2 linked regions of the Cricetulus griseus genome follow. The protein of the gene in region 2 interacts with the protein of the main gene of each other region in a pairwise test. Links are inferred from orthologs where the notes say so. Each region holds a gene or a part of one and is shown on either strand. Other genes may lie near its edges. The genes, in order: Cwf19l2 and Card9.

The links.
Region 1: the proteins of Card9 (region 2) and Cwf19l2 interact in binary tests that used the Homo sapiens proteins (3 or more experiments, as listed by UniProt). The two-hybrid records come from large-scale screens. The link is inferred for Cricetulus griseus from reciprocal best matches to the Homo sapiens genes CARD9 and CWF19L2.

What each region holds. Positions count from the first base shown.
Region 1 is NC_048597.1:118,136,584-118,139,835, forward strand, and holds part of Cwf19l2 (CWF19-like protein 2), read left to right. Parts: intron 1-1,616; coding exon 1,617-1,718; intron 1,719-3,252.
Region 2 is NC_048599.1:137,743,988-137,747,807, forward strand, and holds part of Card9 (caspase recruitment domain-containing protein 9), read right to left. Parts: coding exon 3,792-3,820; intron 3,347-3,791; coding exon 3,209-3,346; intron 3,013-3,208; exon of another isoform or gene 2,437-3,012; coding exon 2,132-2,436; intron 2,054-2,131; coding exon 1,874-2,053; coding exon of another isoform or gene 1,790-1,873; coding exon 1,646-1,789; intron 1,320-1,645; coding exon 1,194-1,319; intron 1-1,193. UniProt on the Homo sapiens protein: Adapter protein that plays a key role in innate immune response against fungi by forming signaling complexes downstream of C-type lectin receptors.

The sequences.
Region 1 (3,252 bases), on a different chromosome or scaffold from region 2:
AGTAACAGTCTCATATATTAAGATTAGACCTGGGGACTTACATTTATGTCATTCTCTAGGATGTTCCCAGCAAACCTCAGAATGCTTCTTGTTTCTCCCAAGACTCAAATGTTTGTCAATTTCTAATTCATAGGAATCAGAAATGTGCTTAAAGCTGAAAGCGAGGATGTAATTATATTACTAGGCCCAAGATAAATGATAAATGGGTGTTTGTTGGGGACAATTACACAGAAAAATACAAAGAACCACTAGAGCCTTTCCCTGCTCTTCCTATGGGATCTGCTGACCCACCAGAAAGAAGTGCACAAAGAAAAGCCACATCTCAAGCTCCTCTTTTTCCAATTCCTTCTGCCTGAAGCCACACCCAAAGGGGTGTGGCTACTGTTTCAGGTCCACAGACCAGATGCCTACATAAAACCTTGTCTATCTGTTTTTACTTTATTTTTTCTCAATTGTCAATACATGACTATTATCTAAAAATACAAAACTACAGAAAAATATAAATATATGAAGCAGCCTTTTTATGCTTATACTACTTTGTAGACTGATTTTTTAACTTCCTCCTTTTCCTGTTAAATGAGCAGCATTTTGTTGTCAATAATTTTATTTGATTTATAATGATTAAAGAGGACTTTTCTGTTTGTACCATATAGTACCTCATACTCTGAGTTGTGCCTTCCTAAGTATTTAATACCAGTTGTGTGTACTTAAATAGCAATATGTGGATCAGTGCCCAGATGAGTCATGTTGATTTTGAGATGGTATTAGAGGAGAAACTTACTGTGTATTGACCAACCTCGATAATTTCTAGTGTTAAAAGTTGGGACTTAGAGGAAAAACTTACAAAGATGCAAAATCTGCCAGATAAGAAAACAAGAAATTATAGCTCTTTTCAATCAGTATGGAGATTAAAACTCTTCCTTTGTCTCTCTGTCCCTCTCTCCCTCGCTCCCGTGTGTGTGTGTGTGTGTGTGTGTGTGTGTGTGTGTGTGTGTGTGTGTGTGTGTGTGTGTCTGTGTGTGTCTGTGTGTCTGTGTGTGTCTGTGTGTGTCTGTGTGTGTCTGTGTGTGTCTGTGTGTGTGTCTGTGTGTGTGTAAAATGAGGAATAGAAGGATAATAGAGAGCTGATCCCAATGTATTGTGAAATTAACTTGGTAAAGTAAATATTGCTATTTTATCTCACTAGTAATGATAAAAATAAAAATTATAAATTTATTTATATTTAATAAATATTATCATATTGAAGATTTTATAAGTGTATAAACACAGCCACAAATATATGATCAAGTTCTCTTCCTAAGTAAAATATGAACAAAACATACTTTTATTTGTGTAATTGTAGAAAAATTGTTTCTTGGCACTACAAAAATATTTGAATACCTTTTTTCTACTGTCTTCAAGAACAGAAAAGTGTTTGTTTTGATTGTGAATTGCTAGACTTGATGAAGCTCTGTCTGGCTGAAAGGCTATCAGAGTGAAATCTTTTCCTTGGAAAGTTAGGTCATTGGAAATTTGTCATACACATCCTCCTGATGGATGATGATTAGTTCTCTCATGGCAGAAAATTGGAGAAGGCATAGCTTTCCTACTTCATATGTAATTTTTTGTTTACTCAGGTGCCCAGAGGCTTGCCTTACTTTGCTGTAGACTTTGGCCTTCAGGGAGGATTTGCCCATGTCATTGAAGATCAACACAAATTTCCTCGTTACTTTGGAAAGGTATACTCAGAAATTTGATAAAACCCTGAAGATTAGTGGTTTGGTTAATATTTTCACAAGGTTGTGAAAGAAAAAGTTTGAATCACAGAATTTGATGAGTTGTTTTCTATACAAGTTTGACAGAGAAGGGTGTGGGGGTGTGTGTGATATTAACAATAAAAGAAAAAAGTACCAGAATATTCATTAGCCAATCAGAAATTTCATTGTGTAACAGACATTTTTGGACATTGTGCTCGCTCAGTCTTTGTAACTATAATGTTTTCCTAACTTTGGAGTCAGCTTTGTCCTGAAAGTTATGTTATTTGCTAATGTTTATTGAGGGCTTACAGTGTGCCCATCTACTGTCTAAGCAGCCATCTAGTGCTCACAGTTACTCTACTGTCTAGATTTTGTTCTAACATTTGTTGTGAAGATAGGAAAACTCTAAATTGCAAAGGGGTTCTGTGATTTCCCTAGGGTTATGTGCTAAGTGAGAGGACCCAGGTACCACAGGTGATGGTTAATACAGAAAATAAATGGTGTTAGCTCTTCATTTGTAGTTAAGGTATAATCCAGGAAAAATAAATAACTCATTTCACAGTTAGGTTCTGGGCACGTATGAAAATCCCCATCATTTGATTACCAGTAGTTTCTTTCAGGGGGAAAAAAAAATGCCTTCATAAGAGCATATTCCTTAAATTTAGAGGTCTACATACTAAGTATCTAAATTCTCTTCAGGAACTGGAATGAAATTAATGTAGTGTGTGAAATTGGCAAAAATGAATCTGGGCCTAGCTCAAGCCTTCTTGTATCACCTTTCTGTGATTATGCCTCTACAGAGACCAGCCTTGATAAACTCTGCTGAGAGTTCATAATTTCCCACCCTGCTTCCCCCTCTGCCCTGCTCTCATCTGCATGAGATAATCTTCTACAATGAAATTGGGATGTTTCAAGAGAAAACAGCTCCATTAGTTTCAATCCAGAACTCACTATGCTGCTGGCCTTAAATGAATATGCACATTCCAAAATCACATGCATTTTTGAATTATTACTTAAATATTCTCACATAGCCCAGACTGGTCTTGAACTCACCACATAGCTAACTATATCCTTGCACTGCTGTTCATCCGGCCTCCACCTCCTGATGTGAGTTTCCAGGACTGTACCATCATGCCTGTTTTTCCACAGCCTTGTGGATCAAACCCATAGCTTCATGCATGTCTGGCCTGCATTCTACTGCTCTACCAACTTAGGTGTATCCTATCCCCTGTTTGAGAAGTTTGCTGATTTTTCTACAGAATTAACAACAACAAATAAAAAACAAAAACTCAAAAACTTTGTTTTCACTGCTTTGAACAATCCTGTTGTTCCCTAGAGATTTTTAACTGCTCTTTAGCTTTCAATTTATAGCTCTGGATTCATAGTCTTAAAATGTGTTTCCAGAGGAAAGGACATCACTATGACCCATTGTTTCACATTTTAAATTTTTATTGGAAGAATTGCCTCCCCTTCAAATATTACTCATGCATTTCCCCATGTCTCAAGAAATACTTTG
Region 2 (3,820 bases):
TAGTTCAAGGTCGTCTTTGGACATACTTTGAGTCAAGGCTACATAAGACACTGTCTCAGAACAATCAAAAATAAATAAAATTAATTTAAAAAGAAAAACTCCAAAAAGAAGCAGCTGAAATGACCATGGCCAACACTCAAGATAGTTCCTAGGGAAGTCCAACCAAGAAGTCAAACATCCCTAGTCAGTATGTGTCTCTGTCCCACCCATGTGGCATGTTTTCAAGTTCTGGATGCATCTTGACATCAAGAATATGATCACTGGGCGGTGGTGGCACACGCCTTTAATCCCACCACTGGGGAGGCAGAGGCAGGCGGATCTCTGTGAGTTGGAGGCCAGCCTGGTCTACAAAGTGAGTTCCAGGACAGCCAAGATGACACAGAGAAACACTGTCTCAAAAAAACAAAAAACAAACAAAGAACATGATTGATGGCTGTTCTTAAAATGAATACCATGCTTCTTCTTTTGTTTCCTGGGAGACAGTTTCATTCATTTCCCAAACTGGCCTAAAATTTACTATGTATCTGAGGATGGCCTTGAATTTTTGATCCTCCTGACTCTACCTCCAAAGCCTGGAATTACAGGCATGTGCCACCAAAGTTGGCTCAGTTGCTACTACTTTTTGTTGTTTTTGGTTTTTTGAGACCGGGTCTACCATTGTAGCCCAAACTGGCTTGGAACTCACTGTGTAATCCAGGCTGGCCTTGAATTCACAGTAGTTATTTTGTTTCAACCTCCAAATGCTGGGAGTACAGGTATGAGCTACCACTACTACTACTGCTGCCTATTCCAGGGGGTTACCACCAGCTCTTCTACCCAATACTGTGGCCTCCACCTCCCACCTGTGTAGCTAGCAACTTCCTCTCCTCTATTGAAGTTTCCAACCCTGACCTTCCCCTAACCAGCACAGGCGCCACTGGGACTCCCCTGCTACACTGGCCCTTCCTGTGAGAGAGGCAGATGTTCCTGTCTTTGTACAAGAGGCTCCAGGTTCTATCTTTCAACATTGCCAAGTTACCTCAGGCATAAATAGATAGGTAGGTAGGTAGATAGATAGATAGATAGATAGATAGATAGATAGATAGATAGATAGATAGATAAAGTAATGAGTTGACCACAGCTTCAAAAGCCTCTACACCGGCACCCAAACACTCCTCTCATTCTCATCTTCTGAACACAAATGCAACACCTACCTGGTCCCGCTCAATGGAGACTTCCTCCATCTGCTGCAGGATAGCCTCGATCCGGTCCTTGTACATCTTGGCATCCTTACGCAAGGCCAGGCACTGCAGCTCGAACATCTCCCTTTCCTCCACGCACTACAGGAAGCACCACTCAGCCTCACCCACTCTCCACTGCTCACCTGGCCCTGGGCTGGACTCAGGCAACACCTTCAGAGCACTCAAGATCGGGCTAGCCGGGATGATGGGAAGGGCACTGCAGTCCCAGGCCACAGCAGGCTTGCCTGGTCTGAGACCATGGCCTCAGCCACCACCGATCACACGGTAAACTGAAAGGATGACCCTAGCTGTGGACATGACACCACTGTGCACCAGGAATTGGTGAAGGGGAGACAGTGAGTTACATTCCAGACCCTGCCTTCCAGATACCCAGTGGGTACTGCTTGCCTGCCCTGCCCTCTCACCCGGGTCCGGAGGGCCTCAGCTTGGCGGAGGTCCTTGCGTAGGGAGAAGATGGTGTTGGCCTGCTCTTGGTGCTCCTGCAGTGCCTGGCGCCAGTCCTCCTGCAGCACTTGAATGTAGGGGCTGTTCCTGTCTAGCTTGCCCTCCTGGAGGTGGCAAAGGGCAACAAGCCTGGCCATTGCAGTTGTACCATCTGGTGTGCCCCTGGTGTGCACTGCTGGTAGCCCTACCTGTACAGAGACCTCCAGCTCCTGCACCCGGGCCTGCAGCAAGTCCTTTTCCTGCTGCAGCTCCCACATCAGCTCCTGGCTGGGCCGCTGCTCCATAGCATGCCTGAGCTTCAGGGTGTGTTTTCGCTCCACCTTGCAATCATCCTCTGCCTTCATGAGGCTGTGCCTGAGCCGGTCCACCTGTGGGTGGTCCAGTCAGCAGCAGCCTCCTCCAGACACCCCCACCCCCACCCCCCTGCTGGTGGGACAAGCGATCACCTCGAGCTGCAGGTCCCGGTTCCGCATGAGCGCTGAGCCCTTCTCTTCACTCAGATGTGCTAGGCGCATGGCCAGGTCATAGTTCTCATCCTTGCAGCGCTTCAGCTCTCGGCTGCTCAGCTCACACTCTTCCTTGAGCCGCTGCACACGCTCCTGGTGCTTGCGCAGGAGGCTGTCCTTTACCCGAAGCTCCTTGATGAAGTCGTCCTTGGAGCTCAGAAGTGCCGTCAGGTCCTGAACCTTCTTCTGCAGCTTCATGACCTCTGTCATCAGCAGCTGCGTCAGGCCTGACTCCCCTGATGCATCTGGGGACCATGCAGTGTCAGATGGAGCCTGTGGCTGTCACCTGCAGACCCTGTGCTTGTCCTTGTCCAGAAGTATGTGCTTGAAGACCAGCAGTTTGAGGGGCAGAGGGAGCACTACTGGTCTTCCACAGAGAGAAAGCTGGTGGGAAGGCTCCCTGGGGACTGTTCACCAGGCCCAGTCTGCCTTGCTGCCCCTCACATATGAACTGACTGAGATTCTAACTTATCACATGCCAGGACTCCAGCTGGCCCTCTCTCTCTCTCTCTCTCTCTCTCTCTCTTTTTCTCTCTCTTTTCCCTGAGAAAAGGTCTCACTATGTAGTCCAGGGTGGCCTCTAACTCAGAGATCTGCCTGCTTCTCCCTGGGATTAAAGGTGTGTGCCAGCATGCCTGGCCCTCTGTCTACCTTTATAAAGATCTTTATGAGATGAATGATAGGGATGTGGACTGATAGGGATGTGGCTATTCCATCAGTTCACCTCTGTCCCCTCTAGAAACTGTGGGATTCTGTCCTTAGGTGGTAACTGGGCCCCATGGAATTAATACTTTATAGAGGGGTCACCTCTTCTTAGTGGATGTTCTTAGGATGGGAGTAGGAAAGGCAGAGAAGGGAGCCCTGACCCTGAGCACCTGAGAGTAGTCACTGGTACCACTACTCTGATATGTACCACAGGGCTTGTATTAGACTCATTCATTCTGATGTAATCACAGAAGCCAGGACCTGGTGGCACCTGACTGCACTCACAGCACCCACCCACTCTGTGCCTCTCACCAATGATCATGGAGAAGACTCGTGCTGGCTCCTTGCCCGTGACTTTCCTGTATAATTGAGGGTAATAGAGTTCCAGACTCTCAAGGAAGGCTACATAGCCCTTGTGGCCTGTCCGCTGCAGGATGTCCAGTAGCACACCTACAGATGGAAGAGACAGAGTTGAGGCCAAGGTCTGGGTATGTAGAAGCTCTGGGGCCCAGGTGGGACAGTGGATGACTGCTCTGAGTAGAGGTGCCAAGCTGTGGACCCCCAGCCCTCGTTTCTGGGCCCTTCCTAGCAGAGGGATCTGGGGCATTGCATAAGGCACCCTGCAGGTCTCAGTCAAGGCAGAGTAAGGTGCTGCCTTCACTCTTGTGGCTCTCTCACAGCCTGAACAATGGTAGGAACTCCCCTTCCCTCCTCTGGGTAGCAGCAGGTAGGCATGATGAGAGGAGAGAAGGCTCTCATGCATACATCCTAGGTGTAGATGGAGCTGGGTGGGGACAAGGCCAGGGCGGCACAGCATGTAGCAGCCTCTGGCCAGGTGTCTGTGGGGACCATGAGGGACTAGGGACAGCCCTGCTGGTGTGGGAGCAGCCCTCACCCACTTTCCGCTTGCGAATGACCAGGTTG